Coturnix japonica: one gene and its partner. The protein of the gene in region 1 purifies or fractionates together with the protein of each later gene. This does not show direct contact. Links are inferred from orthologs where the notes say so. Each region holds a gene or a part of one and is shown on either strand. Other genes may lie near its edges. The genes, in order: SLC37A3 and ATRAID.

Evidence for each region.
Region 2: the proteins of SLC37A3 (region 1) and ATRAID purify together in Homo sapiens (affinity purification with mass spectrometry; 3 studies listed by BioGRID and IntAct, counting the BioPlex papers as one, with this or other methods). This does not show direct contact. The link is inferred for Coturnix japonica from reciprocal best matches to the Homo sapiens genes SLC37A3 and ATRAID.

The regions. Positions count from the first base shown.
Region 1 is NC_029516.1:55,554,070-55,558,336, forward strand, and holds the start of SLC37A3 (sugar phosphate exchanger 3), read left to right. Parts: upstream 1-1,400; 5' UTR 1,401-1,534; intron 1,535-2,731; 5' UTR 2,732-2,791; coding exon 2,792-2,892; intron 2,893-3,369; coding exon 3,370-3,484; intron 3,485-4,267. Other genes in the region: RAB19 (ras-related protein Rab-19), read right to left, coding at 339-522, 949-1,143. UniProt on the Homo sapiens protein: Unlike the other SLC37 members, lacks glucose-6-phosphate antiporter activity.
Region 2 is NC_029518.1:95,344,153-95,348,607, reverse strand, and holds ATRAID (all-trans retinoic acid-induced differentiation factor), read left to right. Parts: upstream 1-1,530; 5' UTR 1,531-1,652; coding exon 1,653-1,936; intron 1,937-2,828; coding exon 2,829-2,900; intron 2,901-3,009; coding exon 3,010-3,081; intron 3,082-3,151; coding exon 3,152-3,273; intron 3,274-3,355; coding exon 3,356-3,456; intron 3,457-3,533; coding exon 3,534-3,638; 3' UTR 3,639-3,713; downstream 3,714-4,455. Other genes in the region: collagen alpha-1(I) chain-like, read left to right, coding at 1-263. UniProt on the Homo sapiens protein: Promotes osteoblast cell differentiation and terminal mineralization. Plays a role in inducing the cell cycle arrest via inhibiting CCND1 expression in all-trans-retinoic acid (ATRA) signal pathway.

The DNA of each region.
Region 1 (4,267 bases):
AACCGCTGCATTCCTCCACATCAGGAGCACAGGGTCAGGCTTACAGCCATTCTAACACCGATAGGGTTGTATTTGCTTGCTACGCTACCAACAAGATCCTCACATTATTTCAGCAGGAAAGGAAAACGTGAAGAGATTTCACTGTCTGCAGTGGGCCCCGTCCTACCAGGGTCAGGCTGTGGCTTTCTTTTTAATTATTTGAGATGTGTATTTTCATTATTTTAATTAAAACCACGTTCCCCTTTTAATTAAGAGGTTCACGGGTGCTCTAAGCAACAGTGGGGAGGATTTTGCACATATATTAGAAAAGTTATAAAACATAATATTTAGATTCCTACCAATTAACATCATGACCAAGTTTGCAGCACCATACTTTTCAACCTCATGAATCCAGTGAGGAATAGACTCAAACGTGGACCTCCTAGTGAGGTCGTAGGCAAGGATGGCTCCATGGGCGCTCCTGTAATAGGACTGGGTTATTGTCCGGAAGCGCTCCTGACCAGCCGTGTCCCACACTTGGATCTGCAAGAGAAAGGAATCAAGTTGTGAAGGCCAGTAGATCCAGGGTGGATGTGGCAGTCTGGTCCAGTGTTTGGTGACCCTGTCCATAGCAGAGGGGCTGAAACTAGATGATCTTTGAGGTCCCAAACACCCACAGCTACATCAGGGTACTCAGAGCCTGACTTTGGGTATCAGCAGGGATGGGGCATCCGCCGCCTCTTAGGGTGTCACTGTGCCAGTGCTCCACTATGCTTATGGTAAAACACTTTCTCCTGATGTCTAGTTTAAACCTCCCCTTATCCCACCACAGCAGACCCCGCTATAGAGTCTGTCCCGTTCCTTCTCACATTCCCCCTTCAGACCCCGGGATGCCGCTCTCGATGCGGTAATGGAGGCAGGGCCGCAGTCCCGCCCCGAGGCGCCTCCCAGCCCGCTCCCATCACCCACCTTGACCTTCTTGCCGTCGATATCCACGGAGCGCACGGTGAAGTCCACCCCGATGGTGTTCTGCTGCTTCTCGTAGAACTGCCCCGTCTTGAAGCGGTGCACCACGCACGTCTTCCCCACGTTGGAGTCCCCGATCAGGATGATCTTAAAGAGGTAATCGAACGCGTCGTCCGCGCTGGAGCTGGAGAACGGCATCCCGCAGCCCGGTCCTGCAGTGCCGGCAAAGCACGGGGTGAAGGGCCGTACCCCGAACAAGGGCTGCCCGCACCTCCAGCAGCAGCACGACCCGAACCAGAGCCGCCCCACCTGCACGGCTCACCTGCCGCCCAGGTAGCGCCGCTTTGTACCCCGCCCCGCCGCACCGGGTCGACGGGAAACGTAGTCCCAGCCCTTCCTTCTCCTCTCCCTCCGCCCCTCGGCCGGGGCGGTGCCGCTTCCTTCCCCTCCCCTCCCCTCCCTTCCACGCCGGCTGCGAGGCGGGGCCGCCGGGCGGACTCCCGGCCTACAAGTCCCGCCGTGCCCGTGGACCGACACCGCCGTTCCGGGTCGCCGCTTCCTGAGCGCCGCGGAGGTTCGGCACAGTGCGGTACGGGGGGATGCGGGGCCGGGAGCTGATGGGAGGGGGATGGATGGATGGATGGATGGATTTACGATGCACCTGGCGAGGTTCGGGTCGGGTGTTACGGAACGTTTCCTCTCGGCAGGAGCGGTGCTGTGCTGGCACAGGCTGCACAGGGAGGTGGTGCAGTCACCGTCCCCAGAGGTGTTCCGGAGCCGTGTGGATGTGGCACTGAGGGATGTGGGCATGGTGGGCATTCATCGGTGCTTGCTGAACATCAAAGGGTGGGTGTGAGCACAGAGAGGCTGTGTGTGGTGCATTACAGCAGTGACGTGGAGGACAAGATGCATTCCAGATTGCTGTACACAGTACGGAGTGAAGAGTGTCTCCATTGGTGATAACAACCAGGGAATGGTGTACAGAGCTGAATATTGGTGTCAGCGCATTGGAAATGACAGCGACAGTGTTGGAATAGTGCAGAGTTTGCAGTGTGGGTCCCACGAATGCTCACTTAGGAACAGAAAGAGCAGCACGTGCAACTTCATCAGGACCTGTTGAGCCAGTATGAGGCTGAAGGTGATGCTGCCCTGGATCACACCATCAACTCTGACCACTACATCGTGATGCTGACTGAGCTGAAGGCTCCAACTTCTGGAGTCAGGCCAAAGAAGAAGACAACCTTCCTCCTGCAGCACAGCAGCTGTACCAATCTGAAGACTGTGGAGCACAGTGTCAGTCTTGGCTGGACTATCCTACCACAGCAATTGTATAGTCCTGGTTTGGTGCCTTTTGGCTCCCATCTGCTCAGGCCAGGGGAAGGTGTGAAGGCACTTGTTCATCGATGGTGAAACTGCACGGCCAATAGCGGTGACTGTGTTGAAAAATAGTGTTGCTGAGAATTTGCTCTGTCAAATAGCATTTGACATGGGAAGAGCTGCAGTTGGTAGATCCTGGAGGACTCCTCAGTGATGGGTACTGAGGAATGCAAGAAATACATGGGTTGGAGGATGACCAAGGGGTGCTTGGGGAATGGGAATGAAAAAATGCGAGTTGTCGAGGGATGTACAGCTGATGAGATGGATAGAAACGTGAACTGAAGTGAGGAGGAATAGCAGAGCCATTCCTGCTGAATTCTGGCTGTTTGGTGACCAGCACTGTATTTAGACTTGTGTTTTAATTCGTATGCTTTCTTCTTTTCTCCCTTCCCACCTTCTTCTCTTTAAGCAAGCAGACAAAATGACCTAAGCATCGAGCAACCTTTGCTGCCTGGGCGGGAGCAGGGCCATGGCTGTGCCTGGAAGCTCACGGAGGCAGCCTGCAAACAGAGGCCTGGTGTCCCATTGCACTCATCATCATGTTGTGGTGTTCCTGCTGACCTTCTTCAGGTAGGCTGTGTCCTTCTACAGAGCGGTGTTTGTTTCACTGAACGTGGGGAGGTACAGAGCTCGTCTAAAGAAGGAGAGCAGAAGTAGGGACGTACTCTTATTTTTGGCTCTGAGCCTTGAAAGCAAACACAAAAAGTCAATAGAAACAGCTGGTCTGAGAGTCCTGCAGTAGCTAAGTGAAGCTTGCGGTGCCCTTGGGGAATGCAGCCACCAACAGAGCCCTCACCAAAGGTGAGACTGACTGCCAGGAACACAGCCCGTGGCAGAAGGGTTGTCCTGGGTGGGTGCACAAGACAGATTCTCCCTCTCTGAAGTCAGTGTCTGCCCATGTTTTCGGAGCTCCTGTTGCTAGCAACCATCTCCAAAATGTCAGTTCTCTGTTCCTTGGAGCATATGTCTGACTTTTGAGTCTTGCCCTTTCCCATATGACCAGCAGAGAAGATTTGGCCAACCTGTGCTTGTGTTTTTTTCTGGCAGTTACTCCTTGCTCCACGCTTCCAGAAAGACGTTCAGTAATGTCAAAGTCAGCATTTCAAACCAGTGGACTCCGTCCTGCCTGAACAGCACAACTTTTGAGCTCCGGCCAAATGAGGTAACCAGCAAGTGCTAAGAAAGATGAGTAGATTCCAGTAAGCTTAGGTTGTAGTGCTGAAGAGGCTCTTTTATTTCTTGCTGTCAGGGCTGCTTCTCTGAATGTGTGTGGAAACTTCAGGTTAATGAATGTAGTTTTCTGGATTACCAGCTGGTGTTGAACACTTTCCTAGTGGTTCCCAGAGAGAAATTAGTAAGGAAGTTGGTGTTCTGATTGAGACTGGGACACCCCCCTGCTCATAGAGCCAACAGAACAGAGGAGGTGAGGGAGGGGGAAGGAGGGATCCTGCTTTGAAGTGCCGGAGGCAATAAAGGAGAGCAGTGAATGGGGTTACAGTCCTTTAACATCCTGGCTCTGGCTTTCCGGTGCTGGTAACGATACCGTGATTTTATTAGATCTGCACTTCTCAGTCTTTATGGATTTGTAAGTCGTCTGGGGGTTTTATAATAAGTTCAAACCTAGTGACAAGAGATTTGATTCTCTTACCTTTCTAAGACACTTAATAGCTTGTGGAACTCCAGGAATCTGATAAAAGTTGACATCTACTGCTATAAGTAGGTGCTGGTGGCTTCAAGTGGCAGCGAATGTTTTTCAAGGGCCTTATTAGTTTCCTTTGACATGTGAGACTTAAGCAGAAGCTGTGTTGATTGGCCATATCGAAGTTAAGTCTCTTAAACTAAGCAGTTGTATAATTGGTGCTGTCTGCGTAGGATGTTCCTTTGGGGAGGCAGAATCAAACTAAACCTGACAGTAGTTGAGTTAGATACATTTGTAGGCCAGGTT
Region 2 (4,455 bases), on another chromosome or scaffold:
GCGCTGCGGGAGGTGGCGACGGCGAATCCGGCCCCGCTCGTCCTCGCGGGGACCTTCGCTCCGGAGTTGTCGGCCCGCCTCAAGGACCTGAGGGGGGGGGAACGACGCACCCGGGAGGGGTCACCGCAGCCTTCCCCGCCCCGCTCCCCCGCAGCTCGTCTCCGGGCCAAAGGCGAACGGGGGCGGCCCCGCCCGACGCCGACCCCGGCCCCGCAGCCGGCGAGACCGGCACGGCCGGAGCGGGACGGACGGGCTCGGCGTGACGCGGTCGGGCTCCGTGCGGCCGAACCCGCCGCTCCTCCCGCACTCGTTAAGGCGCAACCCCCACCTGGGGCCGCGCTACGACGGGGCGGGCGGCGCTGATCCGCGCAGGAATGCGGCTCTGGATCGGCCCCCGGTGCCCGGAGCGAGGAGCGGGGGTTGGCGGTGCCGAAAGGAGGCGAGAGGGCAGCGCTGCCCGCCCCGCCCGCACGGCGGGCACGGTCCAAGGTCACCCACCGCGCTCCGAGACACAACACGGGGCGATCCCCCCCCCCCACCTCCTGGCCCCGTGCCCGGCGTTCCCCCCCGGTGCTCCTGCCCCGTGTCCCGGTGCCCCCTTGACCTCAAGGCTTCACTCCCGGTGCCGCCGTGTTCCCGGTCCCCTCGTTGCCCCCCCATGTCCCACGTCCCATCTCCGCTCCCTGTGTCCTGGTATCCCGGTGTCCCCGCTCCCCATGTCCTGGTGTCCCGGTATCCCGGTGTCCCCATGTCCCGTTGTCCCCACTCCCCATGTCCCGGTATCCCAGTGTCCCGGTGTCCCCGCTCCCCATGTCCCCATGTCCCGGTATCCCGGTGTCCCCATGTCCCGGTGTCCCCACTCCCCATGTCCCCATGTCCCGGTATCCCAGTGTCCCGGTGTCCCCGCTCCCCATGTCCCAGTGTCCCCGCTCCCCATGTCCCGGTGTCCCCGCTCCCCATGTCCCGTTCTCCCCACTCCCCATGTCCCCATGTCCCGGTATCCCGGTGTCCCCATGTCCCGGTGTCCCCACTCCCCATGTCCCCATGTCCTGGTATCCCGGTGTCCTGGTGTCCCCGCTCCCCGTGTCCCGGTGTTCCCGCTCCCCATGTCCCGGTATCCCCGTGTCCCGGTGTCCCCGCTCCCCATGTCCTGGTATCCCGGTGTCCTGGTGTCCCCGCTCCCCATGTCCCGGTGTCCCGGTATCCCGGTGTCCCGGTGTCCGCACACCAACTCCCCGCTCCCCTCGTTGTTTCCCCGCCGTCCGCAGCCCGAAGGCCGCCCCGATTCCCGCTGTGCCCCCGTTCCCGCTCCCCGCCCCGCCCCGCGTTCCCGCACCCTCCCGTTCCGTCGCTCCCCCTCCCGTGTGTCCCGTTCCCACACACGTTCCGGTTCCTCCTCCACTCACCGGCCGCTCTCCCGGCTCAGCCCACGTGCACCTGACAGCGCCGCGGCACGCTCTGATGACGTCACGACGCCGAGCATCGCCCTCACCTCCAGCCCAGCTCTCCGCGCGCCCCGATGCCGTCATCGCCCCGCCGTCCAATCCCGTGCGCGGATCTCGTCACGTGGCTGCTCCGGGGTCGGGTCGTCGCGCCTCGGCTCCCTCTGTCCGCGCTGTTCCCGGTGCGCGCGGCCCGTTAATGGCCCGTTAATGGCTGAACCATTGCACGCACACTGCGGCCGTTCCGCCCCGACAACAGGACCAGCCCGACCGGGGCGGGGCGGCGCTGCCGGAAGCGGAGCCGTGGGGTCCCTCCTCCTCCTCCTGCTGCTGTTGGTACCGGAGCCCGGTACCGGCCGAACCGCCCCGCCGCTGTGCGGGACGTGCCCGGGAACGGCGAGAAACGGGTCCATTGTGACACTGTACTGCGGGAACGGCCACGGGAACATCAACGGGCGGTGCTGTGTGCGGGGAGCGGGACAGCAACTGCTGGGGTATGGAGGAGTATAGCGGGGTATAGGGGATATGGGGATACAGGGGTATAGGGGTATAGGGGTATTGGGGATATAGGGAATATGGGGATATAGGGGTGGGGATATAGGGATGGGATGGGATGGGGATATAGGGATGTGGATATAGGGATAGGGGTGGGATCGGGATAGGGATATAGGGATGGAGTGGGGTTATAGAGATGGGATGGGATGGGGATTGGATAGGAATGGGGATTGGATGGTATGGGGATGTGATGGGGGTATAGGGATGGGGATGGGGATATAGGGATGGGATGGGGATATGGGGATGGGGTTATAGAGATGGGATGGGATGGGGATTCAATAGGAATGGGGATGGGATGGGGATATAGGGATGGGGATGGGGCTATAGGGATGGGGTGGGATGGGGATGGGATCGGGATGGGGTTATAGGGATGGGATGGGGTTATAGAGATGGGATGGGGATTGGATAGGAATGGGGATGGGATGGGGATGGGGATACAGGGATGGGGATGGGGATATAGAGATGGGATGGGATGAGGATTGGATAGGAATGGGGATATAGGGATAGGATGGGGATATAGGGATGGGATGGGGATATAGGGATGGGATGGGGATGGGATAGGAATGGGGATATAGGGATGGGATGGGATGGGATGGGATGGGGATTGGATAGGAATGGAGATGGGGATTGGATGGGATGGGGATATAGGGATGGGGTGTGATGGGGATGGAGATGGGATGGGGATGGGGTAATGGGTACGGGTTTGGAGTGTGCTATGGGTATTGGGTACACTACAGGGCACGGCTGTGGTGTGGGTGTGTTGTGGGTCATGGGCCGTGGGGTATGGGAGTGGAACGGGGGAACACAGGGCTCCCGGTGCTGCCCCTCCAGGTTGGACCTCAGCAACTGTTCCCTGCAGACCCTCCCCAGTGAATTCAGTGAGGCCGCGGCTGCCGTCGTGCTGTGAGTGCTGAGGGAAGGGGGAGGTGTGGGGGGGGCTCGGCTGCCCATCCCACCCTGTGCTGTCAGTCAGTGCTGGCCCCGGGGTGCAGCCGGTGTGATGCGTTGGTAGGGACCTGACGGACAACCCGCTGCTGGCGCTCCCCAATGATTCCTTCTTGGGCTTCACGCAGCTGCAACAACTGTGAGTGTGGGGCTGAGCTGTGCCGGGCTGTGGGCTGAGCCCTGTGCCCGGTGCTGAGCTGTGTTTGCAGCGCGGTGCCGCTGGCAGTGCCGTGCCCGGGTGGCAGCAAAGCGTGGGAGGAGGTGACGACAAATGGCAGCAGCCGCCTGTGCCAGGGCCAGAGGAACCCCTGCAACGGCTCCGAGGAGCTCGGTACGTTGGGGCTCTCCCTGCTCCCACTGTAGCCCTGCGTGGCACCGGGCAGGGCGGCCCGTGACCCTGTGCTGCCCACCAGCCCCGCTGTGCCCTGAGAACGCCGTCTGTGCCCCGGACGGACCCGGCCTCTCCCAGTGCCTCTGTGCCAGCCCCTTCCATGGCTACAAGTGCCTGCGACAGGTGGGTGTGGGGCTGGGGGGGCAGGGGGGGCTTGGAGGGGTCAGCAATCTCATGATCTCACCGTGCTCACCTTACAGGGCTCCTTCCCCGTGCCGCTGTTCTGCAGCGTGCTGGGCACAGTGACGGCAGCGCTGAGCATCGCGCTGTGGGGCACCCAGCGCCGACACGCTGCAGGGATGTGACTGCAACCAGGAGTTCAGATGTGGGACGGGGCCGGACGGTGGGGCAGGGGGTTAATAAAGCGTGTGTGGTTATGAGGCTGTCTCTGTGTCACCCCCATTTACAAGAAGGGGAGCAGGGAGGACCTGGGGAACTACAGGCCGGTGAGTCTCACCTCCGTGCCTGGGAAGATGATGGAACAGATCCTCCTGGACAACATGCTCAATCACATAAAGAACGAGCACGTGATCCGAGACAGCCAGCACAGCTTCACCAGGGTCAGGACACGCTAGGTCCTTTGTTCTGACGAGGTGCTCTCAAAGGTCATCAGTACGTCACAACTACTCTAAATGCTGTCTACCAGTGCCTGAGTTCTTCCTACGACCAAAGTGCCACTAACACCTTGCCTTTAGCTGTGCTGACCTACCATTAGTTCCATCGCCGAGCCACGCTTTCCGAGCTGTCAGAGCGTCTCACATCTAATGGCAATCCGTTCTCCACCCGTATCGACTGCACCACTCAGCCTTGTGTTCATGACAGCAAACTTGCTGACAGGGTTGCACTCGCATGTCCCTCATCGAAGTGTCGCCATGTATAAAGATGTTAAAGGAGCACGGTCCCTAAAGACCACTTGGGATCACCACTCGTACCGGCCTCCACATGGAAATAGACGGGCATTGACCACCACCCTCTGTCTGCGGCCTTTCACCATTGCTTATCCATCGGTTGCCACGCATCAAATCACTCCCTCCATGGAGAATGAGGAGGTGCATTTGGGGACCATGTCAAAGGCCTTGCTTCAGGGTCCCTGGTAACTAACATCAGTTGCCTTCCCTTCGT